Linked DNA regions of Stegostoma tigrinum. The protein of the gene in region 1 interacts with the protein of each later gene in a biochemical or structural test. Links are inferred from orthologs where the notes say so. Each region holds a gene or a part of one and is shown on either strand. Other genes may lie near its edges. The genes, in order: gab1 and grap2a.

What was found.
Region 2: the proteins of gab1 (region 1) and grap2a form a complex in vitro, tested with the Homo sapiens proteins (2 studies listed by BioGRID and IntAct, with this or other methods). The link is inferred for Stegostoma tigrinum from reciprocal best matches to the Homo sapiens genes GAB1 and GRAP2.

What each region holds. Positions count from the first base shown.
Region 1 is NC_081354.1:29,130,451-29,140,457, forward strand, and holds the start of gab1 (GRB2-associated-binding protein 1), read left to right. Parts: upstream 1-5,743; 5' UTR 5,744-6,158; coding exon 6,159-6,230; intron 6,231-6,812; exon of another isoform or gene 6,813-6,836; coding exon of another isoform or gene 6,837-6,842; intron 6,843-10,007. UniProt on the Homo sapiens protein: Adapter protein that plays a role in intracellular signaling cascades triggered by activated receptor-type kinases. Plays a role in FGFR1 signaling. Probably involved in signaling by the epidermal growth factor receptor (EGFR) and the insulin receptor (INSR).
Region 2 is NC_081391.1:24,715,965-24,725,596, reverse strand, and holds the start of grap2a (GRB2-related adapter protein 2a), read left to right. Parts: upstream 1-5,729; 5' UTR 5,730-5,891; intron 5,892-5,952; exon of another isoform or gene 5,953-6,074; 5' UTR 6,075-6,118; coding exon 6,119-6,196; intron 6,197-9,632. UniProt on the Homo sapiens protein: Interacts with SLP-76 to regulate NF-AT activation. Binds to tyrosine-phosphorylated shc.

The DNA.
Region 1 (10,007 bases):
ACAGGATCAAGGGTCTGAAGGGTTATTCCTGTTCATATTTCTTAAGGTCTTATGGTTTCAATAGCTTGGCTAATGGTGCAACTAGTTCTGAAGCAGATATCTTTAATTTCATTGATTAAATAGCGTCATGGTCCATAGCCTTTGCAGTGTCCAGTAGTCAAATGCTAGTAATCTCAGATGTACACTGAGATTATAAAACAGGAAGTGCTGGAAAATCTCAGCAGGTCTCGTAGCAACTGTGCAGAGGACTGTTTTTCTCTCCACAGACGCTGCCAGACTTTCTGAGCTTCTCCAGCCCATTCTGTTTGTGTTTTAGATTTCCAGCATCTGCAGTTCTTTGTTTTATTTTATTGAGGTGGATCATCTGGTCGGCACTTCTAGCTGAAGTTACTTGCAAATACTTCTGCCTTATCCTTTGCACTGATGTGCTAGACTCCCCATGATGGGATGTTTGTAAAGCTTCCTCCCCCTCTTAATAGCTGTTTGATAGTCCACAATCATTCATTGCTCTATGTGACAGGACTGCAGAGCTTAGACCTGATTCTTTCCTTGCGGGATCACCTAGCCCTGCGTAATCCTCTCTGATGAAGGGTCTAGGCCCGAAACGTCAGCTTTTGTGCTCCTGAGATGCTGCTTGGCCTGCTGTGTTCATCCAGCCTCACATTTTATTATCTTGGATTCTCCAGCATCTGCAGTTCCCACTATCCCTGCGTAATGCATGCTGTTTCTGCTATTAGACATGCAAACAGTCCTATTTTGTTACTTCACCAGATTTACACCTAAATTCAGCCCTAAATTGGAGATCTCTGATGTTTAACCAGTGACTTCCTGAACGTAAATTCTCCCAAAAGAAACACTCTCTCAACATTTTCACTGTCAAGCTTCCTCAGGGTCTTGCACAGAGTCATAGAAGCATACAGCATGGAAACAGATCCTTTGGTCTATCTTGTCCATGCCAACCAAGTTTCCCACGGTAAATTACTCCCAATTGCATGCTTTTGGCCCATGTGCCTATAAATCTCTTCAATTCATGTACCTATCCAAATGTCTTTTAAATGTTGTTATTGCACCTGCATCACCACTTCCTCTGGTAGTTCATTCCACATACAAACCATCCGCTGTGCAAAAAGGTTGCCCTTCAGGTCTCTTTTAAATCTCTCTCTTCTCACCTTAAAATATGCCCTCTTGATCTGAATTCCCCCACCCTAGAGAAAAGACCTTTCCTATTCACATTATCTCATATGCCTCTCATGATGTTACAAACCTCTATATGGTCACTCCTCACTCTCCTACCGCTAGTGAAAAAATTCCCAGCCTATCCAGCCTCTCCTAATAACTTAAACCCTTCAGTCTTGGCAACATCCTTGCAAATCTTTTCTGAATCCTCTCAAATGTAATAATATCTTTCCTATGGCAAGGCACCCAGAACTGTACATAGTACTGTAACAGTGGCCTCATCAATCTGTACAACCTCAACATGATCTCATATAACTCCTATACTCAATGGTCTGAGCAATGAAGACAAGCTTGCTAAACATCTTCTTAATCACCTTGTCCACCTATGATGCAACTTGCAATGAACTATGTGCTTGAACCCCTAGGTCTCAATCAAGTTACCTTTTACTCTTTTGAACTCTGTAGATACAAGCCTAGCCTGTCCAATCTTTCCTCTTAAGACACTGCACTCTTTCCAGTTATTAGTCGAATAAATCTTCTCTGAACTAATCCTAATGCTCTTGTGTGCCTCCTTAAATAAGGTAATCAATACTGTATACAGTACTCCAGATGTCTTGTATAAATGAAGCATTATCTCTCTACTTTTGTATTCAATTCCATTTGTGATAAATGATAAAACTCTATTAGTTTTCCCAATAACTTGGTTTACCTCTATTATAAGCTTTTATCGTTCATTTTATCATGCAACTCTGGGTACACTTTGATCACTCTGCATCTCATAACTCTGCAATTTCTCACTATTTAGATAACTTTTCTTATTCTTTCCACTAAAATGGACTGTTTCACATTTTTGCACTTTACACTCCATTTGCTGCATCTTTGCCCATACACCTAACTTCTGTCACTTCACAACTTACTTTCCTACCTATCTTTGTGTCATCAGTAAATCGGTCAACCAGACCTCCAATCACTTCAATGATGTAATTTATCTGAACTGTAAAACAGTTGAGATCTCCATAGTGATCCCTAAAGCACACCACTCATTATATCTTGCTCACCTGACAAAGACTCATTTATGTGCCTAATCTCTGCTTCTTGTTAGCCAGGCAATATTCTATTCATGTCAATATGATACCCTCTGCACCCTGAGCTTTTACTTTCTGAGATAATCTTCAATGTGACATCTTAATAAATGCCTTCTGGAAACCTAAGTACAGTATATCCACTGGTTCTCTGTTACTCATATCACGTCTTCAAAGAACTTTAATAGATTGGTCAAACCTGATTTTTCTGTCACAAAGCCATGCTACTTTGCTTGATTACATTTAACTTACTCATGTGACTTGCTCTAATACTTTTTAAAAAATCCAACAATTTCCCCATGACAAACATTAACCTAACTGGTCTGTAGTTTCATTCTTTCCATCTTCCTTTTTCAATAAATGAGCTACATTCGCTATCTTTCAAACTAACACAACCATCCCTCAATAAAGGGATTTTCAGAAAATTAGATCTATCTCACTCATGACATTTTTCAAGACTCAAAATAAAGTTCATTAGATCCCAAGAACTTGTCAATCCACAGGTCCAACCTTTTACTTAGCACCACATGTCTGGTGATTGAGATTTCCCTGAAATCTCCATTTATTCAACTCCTGATTTATCATTGTTTTTGAAGTTTACATATATCCTCTATCGTGAAGATGAAGTAAATTACCTGTTCATCTCCGTTGCGCTTTTCTGGTATTTCTCTTCATTTAATAGTCTGCCTTTTTTCATACAAACGTGCATGACCTCACTTTAAACTCCATCAGCCAATTTTTTGTCAATTCACTCAACCTATCTATATCCCTGGCAGATTCCTGTCTTTACTGTACATGTCTTCCCACCTGTATCATCAGCAATTTTAGATGCATTATATTCTGTCCCCTCTTCCAAATCATAAATATAGATGGTAAATACTTAAGAGATAATGGGAACTGCAGATGCTGGAGAATTCCAAGATAATAAAATGTGAGGCTGGATGAACAGAGCAGGCCAAGCAGCATCTCAGGAGCACAAAAGCTGACGTTTCGGGCCTAGACCCTTCATCAGAGAGGGGGATGGGGAGAGGGAACTGGAATAAATAGGGAGAGAGGGGGAGGCGGACCGAAGATGGAGAGTAAAGAAGATAGGTGGAGAGAGACAATCTTCTTTACTCTCCATCTTCGGTCCGCCTCCCCCTCTCTCCCTATTTATTCCAGTTCCCTCTCCCCATCCCTCTCTCTGATGAAGGGTCTAGGCCCGAAACGTCAGCTTTTGTGCTCCTGAGATGCTGCTTGGCCTGCTCTGTTCATCCAGCCTCACATTTTATTATCTTGGTAAATACTTAAGGCTCTTTTGGCACTCTATTTGTTTTGCATTTCCAACCTGGAAATGACACACTAACTCTTACTGTCTACCTTCTGCACATAAGTGCAAAGGAGCCCTACTGACACATCATGTTTATTCAGCTTAAACCTTTTGAAGATTTTCTCGACTTGATATCCCTCACCTTGATAAACACAATATTGAGTCAGGCTAAAAGCAGGAATCCCAAACATGCACACCATAATCTATATGTCCATTCCAATTATTTATTTGCACAACGATGCAAAAATAATTTGTTTATAATTGATATGGTACTAGTTAACATATTCTTTCTATCTATGTTCATTGCTACAATTAACTATATTAATTTACACAAATTTTAAAATTATATACCAGTAATACAAAACCTTGTAATATTCTCCAAAATATTTAATAATATTAATTTTTGATATAAAAACTTCTTTTTCTCCATTTGAAGATTGAATAATAATGTTATGCCCTGATGTAGGAGTGACCACATTATTGAATTTGGCCGTGACCAGGAGTTGGATTCACATCAGTCCAGGTCGCCATTAACCAAAAGGATGCTTCAGCATTCTTTTAATTCTACCTTACATGTCAATTCAGCTCCTTTGCATTGTCTGACTCAGCAGACCTTCCCCACCAGTTCCACGATTAAGTCATCAGTACATCCCAGCTGAAGAAAACATCTCAAATCACAGTTCGTTGCAACATTATTTTAAGTGGGCGCGTTCGAAAAAATTTAACTGCAAAAATCGATCGCGCAGTAGGGCAATGTTGTTTGGAAGCACGCACTCCTATTTACTCATTTCAGTGCATGAGGTGCGCACTCTGACTAACAAAGACACAATGATTTCGCCTTTGAAAGCCCCAGCAGAACTGTTTTCATCCTGGTAGATCATCCGGTTGTACGTAAATATATATATGAATAAAGTTTAATTTTTTTTCTTGAAGTGCGGCATCAGCTTGGGAAAAGAACTATTGAACTAGACAAACCAGTCCCCCTTGTTTGTTTGGGGTGGGTGTTGCAGGAGGTGGTTATACAATTTTCAATGTGAACAGGGTGGGGGACTCATGTTGGTTGTTTGCTGCACGCATAAGCTAGGAGGGCCTTCCATCACCGTGATTACTCTGCGTTCTTCTAACTTCCACTCCACGCAAACTCGGAGGAAGTTTCACCTTCAAGTGAGCTCCAGGAATCTGGAACTTTTTTTTCTGCCCGCATTCCACAGATTCCTCTGCCAGCCGGCATAATGATTTTACTCATGACAACTCCATAATGGAAATGACTGCCACTGCAACCCTGTACTTCTGCCAAAACATTTTTTGTTAAAAAAGTTAAAAACGTATTTTACAAAAACGCGGAAGAACGATGTTATAAATTTAAGATATCAAACGAGGAGTGCTGAATCTATGCTGAATCTAATCGACAATGACACCATCAGAAGCCAGATTCTGGTCAGATTTACTGAATTATTACACCTGGGTTCCACCAGTGAGTTTTCCCCGGCTGTCGTCGATACCTCCCCGCCCCCAACCACAGGGGCTGTGAAACGGGATGATTCCCAGAATAAGACGCAGGGATTCACACCACTGCTGGGAAATGTAGTTTTCTGACCCTCCTGGTAGCTGGAAGGAGAGGGGAGGGAGTGGGGTCTCTCGGCGTTGACGGGGAAAGCCAGTTTTCATAAATCAGGGTCACCAGTATTTAAGATAACAAAGTATGAAGCTGGATGAACACAGGAGGCCAAGCAGCATCTCAGGAGCACAAAAGCTTTTGTGCTTCTGAGATGCTGCTTGGCCTGCTGTGTTCATCCAGCTTCACACTTTGTTATCTTGGATTCTCCAGCATCTGCAGTTCCCATTATCACTGATACATCCCCAGTTTTTAACCCTGCTCAACACATACCAGTCACCAATGCAGGCACCAAGTCTGCCACATTGCAATCTCCCAACAGTTTGCATTGGAGTTACGCGGCCGTGACCTTCCCTGTGCACTACAGCAGGCGGTTTCCATCCTGTAGGACTACCTTCCCATTCCAGCAGGATGGGGAGAGCATCAAGAGAAATCACTGGGAACAAAGATTGTGCTACGTGCTGGGAGAGAAAAAAAGAGCAGCTGGGAGGGTTTTGAAACTACAAATCCCACAATTCAATTGCAAATTTCTCCGCCCTCACCCCCCCAACACACACACACACACAAACACACACACAGATATAAACTCACACTGGATCACGTCAGCTCACGTCGGGAACGTCACAGAATAGTTGGATCGGTTGCAGTCGGTGAGTTTTAGTTGAAGTCTGCGGACCCCAGGACAGCCGAGCTGTCAATCATTCCCGCGAATCGCGGCGCGAGAGTGGCCGAGCCGGACATCGCTGGACAAGGCGGACGAGTCAGAGTCCACACACAACAACCCAATCTGTCCCACCATCAATCACCCCGAGCACGGCTGCTCCTTTTTTTTCAGTTTGTTTAAACAGTGGAATCGTGATAGAGAGAAAGGAGTACCTGGTCTGTGCTGGGAAAGTTGATTCATATTTCGTTGGGTTGGGTCTGAGAAAGCCGATCCTGGTTTGTCTTCACAGCCCTTCCATCGTGAGCAAGAAAGATGAGTGGCGGCGATATCGTCTACAACGGCTGGCTGAGGAAGTCTCCACCGGAGAAAAAGTTGAGACGTTACGTAAGTTTTTTTTTAAATACATGAGAAAGTGTTTTCGTTTTGCAAATTCAAATACGGCGGCACTGCTGTAAGCGAACCGAGTTGTAAACGTTGTTTACCTATACAAAACTTAATTTATCATTCAAAAAAAGTGGTTGATTCCTCTCGGCACAATATAATGCTCGCACTCAAGAATGCAGTAGTTACAAAGTAACTGCTGGCAATTGCCCCATACACTTTTTAATTTTGTTAATATGCAAATTAGAACTGTTTGGAATTAGTGCGTGACTTTTTTTAGTGAAAAGTCCACTTGAGTTGTGGCCAACATAGATACGGTCTTTCTAATAGTTTATTTCAGATTTTCAACGTTTGTAGATCTGTCTTTCGAAAAGCAATGGAGTCCTTTGTCTACTGTGAATATGTTCTGATGTTTATAATCTTTTCATGGGTTTGCAGTCACACATGGCTGAAAACTAGAGTGATCTGTGTGTTGAGCAGTGAGAGCTTTGAAGGGCCGGTAGCTGAATCGCACACTGTCAGAAAGCAAGTTTCCAATACGGGACACACCCATTAACTTGGCTGCTGCTCTGCGTACACTTGAGGTTGAATGGGTGTTCATGTCTTCTAATGCAGGTGCAATGCCAAGCGACGTGGAAGGATGAACTATGTGTTTAATAATGCGTGGAAATATCTTGTGATGTCCCATGTCTCTCGGCCCAGGTTTTGTTTAGTGCTGCACGTCGTGGAATTGAAGCATGTTGTCTGGCGGCTTGAAGCAAGTTAAAATGTTTTCCATTCGTTCAGGTGGCAATAGCGGGGCTTTTCACCGGACATATTTCTCAGAATTAGGCCACCAAAAGCTAACATGATGAGTGGCTATGGTTTTATTGCTGGGTAGTATGTAATTTATTTACAACATTTAACAGTGCAAACTTTTTCATACTTCAGCCAGTAGATTTAAAAGAACGAGTGGGCTAATTATTTACTGCAGCTTGAGAAAATAATTGTCAATGGAAGGATCTTTGAACTTTTTAAAATTTTGTGGAGCCTACTTTTACTTGGGTAAAAGAATAACTTTGAGGTAGTCTTAAAGACTAGTATCGTGGTGATCTGAAATAGTTGTGACTTAGTACATTTGAAACAATTCATTTTTGTTTGAGATACTTTTAAAGACGTGTTCTGTGGCAATATATGAATTTTTCTCAGGGATTTTACCAATATCCCATCATAAACCTTCCTTCACGTGGTTTAATCAGTTTTATCATCCTGAGTCTGAGCTTTTGTTTTTAGTAAACTTGTAAGATTTTCTTTACTACTTGTAAACTAACTCTGTGAAGGGAATATTCAGTTTGGTAAAAGCAGTAAATGTTTTGCTATGTAATTGAATGGATCCTTGTAACTTTTTTGAAACTGTTAATTTGAAGTATTCAGAAATGAATATTGCTTTCTGTTACTTATTTAGTTCTACAGAAAAGGATATGCAAAGACAATAGGATTTCTGACATAAAATGTGGCAAGTAATGGCATTAGTCAGTGACTCTGTATTGCATATAGAGCAAGCTTCTGTTGTCAGCCTGTCTAAACAAAAATGTAGAGTGAATGTGAGTGTGATATGCGCAGTTTTTACTCTGATCAAGTGTCAGTTCTGTGTTCCCCATTGTAATATCTTACATCTATAATAATTAAGAATAGGACTTTGTCATTTATCTCAATGTTGGTTTGTGACAATGTTTGTTTGCAGCAATGTTTTTGCACCTGGAGGAAGTGCAAGTACAAGTTTATTGCTATGTAGGTTTGAGTTAAATTATTCAATTCCTATTTGTAATCATGCCAGAGAAAGGAGGAAAAAAAATTGAAGTTCTTATCACGCTCCTCAACTAAAGAAGAACTTCAGTGTATGCTATATAAGACATAGGAGTGGAATCGTTCACATTTTCAGACTGCAATAAAGCATTTCACAGCCAATAAATTAGTTTTTGAAGCACAGACACCTATTTTATAGGCAAACATGGTAGCCAACCTGTGCACAACAAAGATTCAAGCATGAATGAAATAAATAATCACATTTGTATTGACTCCAGGATAAATGTTGGCTAGGTTCTCAGGAGTACACACTTGCTGTTTAAATAGTGTTGTAGGATTTTCTGTATTTACCTTGATAGGTGAATGGCACCTTAGTTTAAAGGCTCACCCAAAAGATAATGTGTTGCACTGTCATGTTCTGTTTGTCCCATTCTGATATGTCACTACTGATTGTGTACAGATATGTTTGTAGTGAAACTTGATCCGACTCTGATTTGATGATGAGACATTGATAACACTCCTAAGCTAACCCCTTTATTTAATTCTACAAATTTAATACAAGCAATCTAACCTATTTGCATTCTTTTTCTTCCTCCCTCCAGCATGCTACTGACTTCTCGCAGCAAACAGCCACAGATTGCATTTAATGTAGCGAAAAGCTTAAATGTTTTTATAAGGATATTATCAGACAAAATTTCTTAGTGAACAGCTGGCCCATAGCTTGGTCAGAGGTAGACATTATGGAGCATCATAAAGGAAGCAGATAGAATGCAGGAATGAATCCCAGAACCTTGGACCAAACCTTTTTGAAGGCTTTGCTTCCAAAGCTGAGTCAAAGAAAATCAGGAAAGGGCAAGATCCAATGTAGGAACAACATTAGAGATCTTTTAATCATGTAGAAATTGCAGGAGATGCTTCCTCTTTTTATTTCCTATCATATGGAGAATTGATTTTGTGCACCAATATACAGTAATGATTTGTGGCATGAATAGAAACAAAATAACTTTATATTTTGTGACAACACAGTATGAAGCTGGATGAACACAGCAGGCCAAGCAGCATCAGAGGAGCAGGAAAGTTGATGTTTTGGGTCGAGACCCTTCTTCAGAAATGATTTCTCTTCTGCTTCACACAGTGTTGTCTCAGATTCTCCAGCATTGGCAGTTCCTACTATCTCTCTAATACAATATTAGTATTATTTTTAAAATGTTACTATTGGTATGGAAGAAGGAAGGCTGTTCCTAATCACTGACACAGTAATGTGCAAGTCAATAAATTTTGCACATTTTCTGAATTAAAATTTAAGTTTACCTTGGTGCCATTCGAACCTAACCTGCAGATTTTTAAATACAGTACCATAACCACAACAATAACATCTGAGAGATACACTTTTTAAATATAAAGCATGATACAAAATCTATATCGATTGACTTGGTAACAATGGCTCAAGACAAGCCTGGGACTTTTTTTTTGTTTCTGTATTCAAATAGAAACAGCTGAGGCAGTTTGTCTGTTGAACTGCTAGAAAATGTTCGAACGGCAGCTTTTTTCTGTTTTTGCTCCTTTTTTAAAAACTGTAGTGAATAGTGAGGAGAATGACACGCCATTTCTTCAGATCAACAGTTCTAATCAGTGAGGGATGAAGTGTCTCTGGTATGGAACAAAGCTTGCTCTTGTGAACTGCAAGGGTGAAGGTCACAAACAGTGGGAATGTTATTGTGGGGAATGCAGGGGAGACAGCACTGTAGTGAAGTAAGTTTCTTTATGTATTCACAGGATGTAGATATCACTGGCTAGGTCAGCATTTATTGCTCATCCCTAATTGCCTCTCAGCTAATTAATGTGGCTAACTCTTAACATGGGTCTGGAGTCACACGTAAGTCAGATCAGGTAAGTTCCCTCCTGAAATGATATTGGTGAACCAGATGGGTTTTTCCAAAACCAGACAATAGTTTCATGGTCATCATTGGCCTTTTAAAAATTGAATTCAGGTTT
Region 2 (9,632 bases), on another chromosome or scaffold:
AGCCCTGGAACCTGCAACATCCATTCCTGACCCTGCTCTATCCATGTCTTCGAAATGGCCACAACATCGAAGTCCCTGGTACCTATCTATGCTGCAAGCTCACCTACCTTATTCCGGATACTCCTGGTGCTCAAGTAGACACACCAACCCAGCTTCCTGTCTGCCAGCACACTCCTGTGACAGTGAGGCCCTGTCCATGTCCTCCCTACGCTCATCCTCCTGTGTACTAGAACTACCCCTCAGTTTCCCATCCCCCTTCTGAGGTAGTTTGGGGTGTATTGAGGTTGGGACAGGTGCTATGGAAATGCACATTTTTCTGTTTCCCAGTCTGGAGATCTATTTCACTAATTTCTAATCAGGTAGAACACAATTCTGTCTGCATTTTCTTTTTGTTATTTTCGAGTTTAGGAGAGGAAGCTGGCTTTCTGTGCACTCAGCTCAATTGGTGGGGTTTTTCAGTAATGATTGGTAAACAGCACCAAGGCAAATTATACTGTTCTTTGATGCTGACAGACCCTATAATCAAGTTTATTGCTAAAAATCTGTAATTATCTTTCTGTCTTGCAGCGAACAAGCATGGCTCTTTCAACCGTGGCCCTTTCTAATCCTTACTTCCTCTAGATTACAGTTCTTTCTTTAGACCTCCAGGTCACACTTCTTTCACCGCTTCAAAGGATGGGGAAAGGAGTTGTTCCCTTGAACCTTCTTAGAGTGGTTACTGAGTTGCTTCTCTTCTCTCTCTCTCTTACTGTGGGTTTTTTTTCTATGAAACACTCACATGCCTCAGATGGTTATTTATGACACCCCTCAGACCAACTGCGAACCTTGGCAATGGGCCATTTGACTGTGGAGTCCTCATCATCCCTTTGTATCCTGCCCTGAGCACTTAAACTGCTTTGTATCCCCATCTGTGTAAGTTGCACAGCCACTGGGAAGTCCCTGCGTGTGAGCTTTCACTTTTGGAAGCTTGCACTGTGCACGGATCTCACAAGTTGGGGGTGGAAGAAAAAATAATTAGAGGGAACCTTGACCCCACAGTTATTAGAATAGAGTTACAGAATCCTTACGGTATGGAAAGAGGCCATTCAGCCCATTGAGTCCACACCGACCCTCTGAAGAACATCACACCCAGACCCAGCTCCCCCACCCTACAATTCTGCATTTAGCATCGCTAATCTACACATCCTTGAGCACTACAGGATAATTTCCCATGGCCAATCCACCATAGCCTGCACATCTTTGGACTGTGGGAAGCAACTGGAGCACCGGGTGGAAACCCACGCAGACACGGGGAGAATGTGCAAACTCCGCACAGACAGTCACCCGAGTGTGTAGTTGAACACGGGTCCCTGGTGCTAACCACTGATCCCCTGTGTCTAGATTTCTAGATTCCTTACTTAAATCTATTCCTCCTTCCATTATTATAGTTTCCATTGCCATTTATTAAGAGTCATCGGGTTCTACAGTACAGGATGAGACCCTTCAGTCCATCAGGTTTGTCCTGGTCAAACATAAACTCCTAATAGCTTAATCCCATTTTCTAGCAGTTGGGCCATAGCCTGGTACGGCTTAACATCCCAACAGCACATCTAAACATTATGGTTACAAACGGTTTTTGCCCCAACCTTAGTATACATATACCTGAGGACTCCTACATATTTGTTTCTCAATTTCTCTCTTACTATTGGGGAGCTGAGACTACAATCCCATCAAAGTCATCTTCTCTTTCTTTCTTCATTCAGTGGGGGAGTGGATGAATTTTCAGAAATATTTTCCCTAGTTAAAGCAGTTATGTATTCCTTAATGGAAAAACACCCCACCGTGCGCGCACACACACGTGCTGACACACGCACACACACAGCAAATTCATTCCCAGGTTTCCTTTGTCCTGTTTCAAACTTTTTTTTGTATGACCTTCATTTTGGTGCCAATCGAATGGAAGAAGTCAGTGTGAGAATAAAATGAAATACTCTTTCTCTTTGGATGGGGAAGGAGACAAAAATCCCAAGAAAGCTTAAAACCACACCTCATCAACCATTGAATCGAGGGGCAGCACATGCCATTGTAAAAACCAAAAAGTCTGTGAAAGATTAAAGGAATTTTCATCTTGTGGTCTGGAGTTTAGTCCTTTAGAATTTTTGCTTACCCTACCCATATTCTTTTCCACCAATAATATGTGTTAAACTGTTCATCTTTGGTCTGTCTTAATCATCACTGAGTATGTATGTGTGCGAATGTGTGTGAATATGTGCACACATGCGTGTTTATGTATGTGCACGCACATGCATGTTTGTGTGTGCATGTGCAGATGCACATATTTGTGTGTGTGTAGGTGCATGTGTGTGTGTATGTGCGCATGCATGTGTGTGTGTATGTGTGTGTGTATGTGCACATGTATGTGTGTGTTTGTATGCACGCATGTGTGTATGTGGATATGTGCATGTGTGAGCGTGTTTGTGCATGTGTGCACACGTGCATGTGTCTGTGTGCACACGTGCATGTGTATGTGCGCACGTGGGTGTTTATGAGTGCGTTTGCATGCTTGTGTGTGTATGTCTGCATGTTTGTGTGTGTGTTGGTGCATATGTGTGTGTATGTGTGTGTGTGTGCATGTTTATGTGTGTATCCACAGGTTTTTTGTGTGCATGTGTATGTGATCATGCATACGCGTGTGTGTATAGATGCGCATGTGTGTTTGTGTGGCTGTATGTGTATGTACGTGCATGTGTTTGTGTGCACGCGTGTTCATATGTGCATGCATGTGTGTTTCTGTCTGTGTCTCTGAGTGTGTGTATGTGTACGTGCATGTTGTTTGTATATGTGCTTGTACACATTTGTGTGTATGTGCTTGCGTGCTCGCGTTTGTGTGTATGTGCACACACATGTTTGTGTATGTGCACATGTGTTTGTGTGTATGTGCATGAGTGTTTGTGTGTTTATGTATGTGCATGTGTTGACTGTGTGTGTATGTGCACATGCATGCTTGTGTGTGTGTGCATATGAGATTGTGTATGTGCTTGCACGTGTTTGTGCATGTATGTATGTGTTTGCAGCATGTGTATGTGTGCACGTGTGTTTGTCTATGCATGTGCACATGTGTTTGTGTATGTGCGTGCACATTTGTGTGTGTATATGCGCACGTGTGTGTGTGCATGTCTGTGCTTGTATTGCGCACGTTTGTGTGTGTTTATATGCACGTGTGTTTGTGTGTATGTGCATGTGCACATGCATTGGTATGTGAATGTGTGTTAGTGTGTGTACATGTGCACGTGTATGTATGTGCGTGTTTGTGTATGTGAGCGCACGTGCACGTTTGTGTATATGCACATGCACGTTTGTGTGTGTGTATGTGTGCATGTGTGTGAATATATGCGTGTGTGTGTGTGTATATGTGCGTGCATGTGTATATGTGTGTGCACGCATGTGTGTGTTAGTGTGTGTGTCTTTTAATGTGCATGCATGTGTGTGTGTGTGTGTCTGTATTTTTAAGAGAGAGGTTATAAGGGAATTAGAGTTTTAGTTTGTAGTATTATATGGCATTAGTTTATATCTGTTTACTTGGTCAAGTTACTTGTAATGAATGATAATTCTCGTACAGTGCAGAAACCTGGTCCATGCTTTCTATCAACCTGGGTCTGAAAATTGGGTAAATTGAGGAACTGTGCAGACTTTTAAAAAAGTTATCGTTGGGCACAATGCTGGAAATAGTGGGACTCAATGTACAGTAGGCTTACCCCAGTGTGTTGTAATACAAGTATTGAAGCAACCTAGTGTGAATTGATTTTGTCCTGGGTACAGTCAGTCAGGCAGATTTGACCTTTGGTGGCCTCACTGGGATTTTAGTGACAAGTTCGGGGACATTGAGGCCTAATTTCACGCATTATTTCCAGCTATGTCATGGCTCTAATTTTGAAACAATGACATCTATTTCTGGGCTGGTCCCAAACGCAGGAAGTTGCTTTTTGCCTCCATCTAGTCTACCTTGTTATCATTTTTGGTGCTTCAATAAGATTGCCCTTCACGCACCTACACTTAGCAGAATTGAAACTAAGCTTAGCTCACATGCCCTTCCTCCCGCCAGACTTTCATGAGATAGAGGTGTTGCTGGCAAAATATGCACTTGTTACCCATCCCTAATTGTCCAGGGGGCAGTTAAGATTCAACCACGTTGCTGTGGGTCTGGAGTCACAAGTAGGCCAGACCGGGTAAGGGTGGCAGTTTCCTTCCCTAAAGGACATTACTGACCCAGAAAGATATGGAGCATTTAATTGAAAGCTTTCAGTCCCAGTTCTGCTGCAAACACTCCCCTCCAAAGTGTGATATTTGTCTGAGTGAACCGATTAGTTTGCAATTGAAATGAATTTTCTTCGGTGCAATTTTTGCCCGCAGCCCTCCTTTACATGTGAAACTCACATCAATGCTCAGCGCCACAGGAAGCAGCTCAGCTGCGCTCAGGACTTTGAATGCACCAAAAAAACCTGCCATCGAAAAAGAAGCCGATTTCCGAGCAGCAGATTCTGACAGTGGGGCTGGAATTCCACATGTTGACAAAGGGGAGAGTCCCCGTTTTGACCCAGTGCAGGCCAGTCCTGTGTGAGTCCTGCTTTGAAACATTTTAGTGTGAGAGTGTCGGCAGGGAGAGAAGCTGTTCGAGTCCCCCCCCCTCCGGCCCACACACACAACATCCCCCAGCCCCACACACACAACAGCCCCCCAGTCCCACACACACACAACAGCCCCCCAGTCCCACACACACAACAGCCCCCCAGTCCCACACACACACAACAGCCCCCCAGTCCCACACACACAACAGCCCCCCAGTCCCACACACACACAACAGCCCCCCAGTCCCACACACACAACACCCCCCCAGTTCCACACACACACAACACCCCCCCAGCCCCACACACAGCACCCCCCCGAGTCCCACACACACACAACACCCGCCCCAGCCCCACACACACAACACCCCCCAGTCCCACACACACACAACACCCCCCAGTCCCACACACACACAACACCCGCCCCAGCCCCACAACACCCCCCAGTCCCACACACACACAACACCCGCCCCAGCCCCACAACACCCCCCAGTCCCACACGCACACAACACCCCCCCGTCCCACACGCACACAACACCCCCCCGTCCCACACGCACACAACACCCCCCCGTCCCACACACACACAACACCCCCCAGTCCCACACGCACACAACACCCCCCAGTCCCACACGCACACAACACCCCCCCGTCCCACACACACACAACACCCCCCAGTCCCACACGCACACAACACCCCCCCGTCCCACACGCACACAACACCCCCCCGTCCCACACACACACAACACCCCCCCGTCCCACACGCACACAACACCCCCCAGTCCCACACGCACACAACACCCCCCCGTCCCACACGCACACAACACCCCCCAGTCCCACACGCACACAACACCCCCCCGTCCCACACGCACACAACACCCCCCAGTCCCACACGCACACAACACCCCCCCGTCCCACACGCACACAACACCCCCCAGTCCCACACACACACAACACCCCCCCGTCCCACACACACACAACACCCCCCAGTCCCACACGCACACAACACCCCCCAGTCCCACACACACACAACACCCCCCAGTCCCACACACACACAACACCCCGCCCCCCCCCACCCCGCCTTGCAGAATTCTAGGTTGTGGTTTTCCCGGAGCGCAAGAAGAAATTGGCTTCGATTTTATTTGAACGACAGTCTGACGAACAGCAGACGAGAGGGGTGTCGCGCTGCGCTAGAAACATCTCTCTCTACCTGCCAATTTATTAAGGCAGCTTTTACAACAACGAAAATTCGGGACCTTCCACCAACCAGAGTTTGAACGTCGTTGAGAAAAGGTAACTCATGCTTCTGCAACTCCCCCCTCCCCCTCCCACCCTGTCTCCTCCCCCAGCTCTATCACTTCCCTCCCAACCCACCGCCCCGCTCCAACCATCATCTCCTGCAGTGTACACACAGACACACACTACTCCCAGAACAGCTCAACCAAAGGAGATTCCTTGCTGTTTTCTCACTTGAAGGTTTTGCAGTCCATCTCTGACCAGTGGGACTCCAGTCAGGGGGGATGGAAGCTGTGGCCAAGTACGAGTTCAACGGAGCTGGAGAGGATGAGCTGAGCTTCAAGAAAGACGACATCCTTAAGGTAACTCAGAGATCGTAAGACCTACAGATGCTGGCGTTAGAGATAGCACAGCGTGGGGGAGCCGGAGGGACACAGCAGGCCAGGCAGCAGTCGTGTTCCTCCAGCTTCCTCGCCGTGTTCCTCCAGCTCCCTCACCGTGTTCCTCCAGCTTCCTCACCGTGTTCCTCCAGCTTCCTCACTGTGTTCCTCCAGCTTCCTCACCGTGTTCCTCCAGCTTCCACACCGTGTTCCTCCAGCTCCCTCACCGTGTTCCTCCAGCTTCCTCACTGTGTTCCTCCAGCTCCCTCACCGTGTTCCTCCAGCTACCTCACCGTGTTCCTCCAGCTTCCACACCGTGTTCCTCCAGCTTCCTCACTGTGTTCCTCCAGCTTCCTCACCGTGTTCCTCCAGCTCCCACACCGTGTTCTTCAGGTTCATCACTGTGTTCCTCCAGCTTCCTCACCGTGTTCCTCCAGCTTCCTCACCGTGTTCCTCCAGCTTCCTCACTGTGTTCCTCCAGCTTCCACACCGTGTTCCTCAAGCTTCCTCACTGTGTTCCTCCAGCTTCCACACCGTGTTCCTCCAGCTCCCTCACTGTGTTCCTCCAGCTTCCTCACCGTGTTCCTCCAGCTTCCTCACTGTGTTCCTCCAGCTCCCTCACCGTGTTCCTCCAGCTCCCTCACCGTGTTCCTCCAGCTTCCTCACCGTGTTCCTCCAGCTCCCTCACCATGTTCCTCCAGCTCCCTCACCGTGTTCCTCCAGCTTCCTCACAGTGTTCCTCCAGCTCCCTCACTGTGTTCCTCCAGCTTCCTCACCGTGTTCCTCCAGCTTCCTCACCGTGTTCCTCCAGCTTCCTCACTGTGTTCCTCCAGCTTCCTCACCGTGTTCCTCCAGCTCCCTCACTGTGTTCCTCCAGCTCCCTCACTGTGTTCCTCCAGCTTCCTCGCCATGTTCCTCCAGCTTCCTCACCGTGTTCCTCCAGCTTCCTCACTGTGTTCCTCCAGCTTCCTCACCGTGTTCCTCCAGCTCCCTCACTGTGTTATCCTTCAGGTGGAGATGAATTTTTGACTTTGTCAGTGGAGCTGACTTCTCTGACATCCTGCCTGCGGTCGCAGAGTTGGCCAAAACGAAAATAAGCAAACTTCTCAAACCAGGCCATGCACTCACAGTGAAAAACCTGAGGAGAACCTAGGATTGGTGTTTTCTGTCACCTGGATAATCCCAGTCATTCCCTACCCGCCACCTATTCTTACGTTCGTGGAAAGGCATCAAAATGAAAACGTGAGCAGGTTTTTGAGTTGGGGATCTTTAATCTGAAAGACCCGTCGCCTATTTGTGTATGTTGTCTCCCCATCCTCTGCCATCACCCCCTGCTGTTTCCATTAACTGGGGTACGATTTGAGGATCTGGGAGCGGCCCCCACCCCAGGGTTAGAGAGGACACTGTGGAGGTGGAGTGTTGGGAGGTTTTGATGGTAAAAATTTCTCATTTCTCACTGTTGTGCTTGTACACCCCATAAACGTGGGTCTTTTTGAGAGAGATGGTTGGGGGGGGGTGGGGTAGGTGGTGGTGGAGGTGATGGACTGGGTGGGAAGGTTGTTTGATGCACAACATGATTCAAAATCTCTGGTGCCACTCAGGAAGAAGTGGATACTTCAGAAAGGCTGCTACGGTGCATGAGATAGAACACTGGGGCTCCAAAGATGCAGAGGTTAGGGTGGATTGGCCGGGGTAAGTTTCCCCGTGGCTGTGCAGCTTAGGTGGGTCAGCCACAGTACTTGCACGGTTATGGGGGTAGGGTGGGGGAGTAGGTCTGGGTGGGATGTTATTTGGAGGGTTGTTACAGGCTTTGACGGGCCAAACGGCCTCTTTCCACCATTGAGGGTTTCTGTAATTCAAGTGAACACGAGAAACATGATTTTTCCCAATGCAGTTATTTTGCCGACATGTTCAGCTCTTTGTGTTAATTGCTTCTTAAAATGATCATAATATTCCAAAAGAGGCAGAAACAAAAATCTTTAAGTTGTAAAAAACTTAAATCTTTGCAAAGTAACGATCCTGTTGCCTGAGGCCACGGTCTCCTGCTAAAAATCCACGGCAGGGTGACTACCGTTATCCCTGCCACGGAAACACAGGGAATGTAGAGAGGAAATGTACATCCCTGCATTGTCTTGCTCTGTTTCTCTCTGAGCACAGACCCCAGCGTGTGCTGCTCCCCTCACAGAGACAACCCAGTCCCCACGAACAATCAAAATCAACTTTCTCTCGTGCACAAAGTCCTCAACTCACAAAGGACATGTTTCCTTTCTTTACATTTAATGATGTTAATTACAAGTGAAACTTTGCCCAATCTGCTGACCGAAGGTCCAACTTTGCCTCAGTTTTACTGAAGGTGATGTTTCCGAGAATAACAATTCTCAGTTCTAGAGGATTGTTTCTCTGTCTTATTCTTTCTCCCTCCATTCGCCCCCTTCTATCCCTTCCCCAGATATACCTTTTCCAGTTTCATATACCCTCTTCCTGCAATCCTTGTTGGTTTCTTTCCCTGTAGAGGTCAAATAGAGCTCTTAACAAGGCATACAGTAAGCTTCATTAATAGGGACATGGAGCAGGGAGATTACGCTTAATTTGTTAAGGGAACTGGTTAGATCTACAATGTTATGTACAGTTCACATTATAGGAAGGATGTGATGGAGACAGATCAGAAGGAGTTGATGAGAGTGGTCCCAGGGGTTCGCCACGAGGACAGATTGGAGGAGTCGGGACTGTTTTGCTCGGAGAGAGGAGGGCTAGGAGGAAGTGTTGTAGGTGTGTTCAGCATCATGGTGGGGGATGCGAATCTGGACTGGGTGGATGGGGAGAGTCTGTTTCTACTTGTGGATGGTTTTGGGAGCTGGAGAGCACAGTTTTAAACTGATCTGCAAAGGAAGCAGTTGAAAGGTGAGAAGGAACTTTCTCACACAGTGAATGGTCTGGGTTTGACATGCGTTACCTTTGAGTGTGGTGGAGCAGTTCAGTTGAGGAATTCAGGAAGACATGGGACGGTTATTTGAACAGAAACAGCGTGCAGGGTTACAGGGTAAAGGCAGGAGACTGGCACTAAGTTCAAATGCTCAGAGAGGTGGCGCAGACACGGTGGGCCGAATGGCCCCCTGCTACACCATAACATTTCTGTGAAATCTTGCCTAGCGCTGGGAATGAAAACAAGAACTGCAGTCACTGGACGTCTGAAGCAAAGGAAAACCAGAAATTGCCGGCGAAATCCAGCAAGTCGGGCAGCATCTGCTGAATTTCTCCAGCAATTTCTATCTTGTTCTTGGTTGTTCCACATTGCAACCACTGGGGTGGCAGCTGCCGATCTCAGGGTGCCAGGCTGTGACCAATTGTCTCTCTCCAATGCGGAAAGAGGCCTGTGGGCATTTTTTGTACACGATGGATAATACCCTAAAAAACGGCC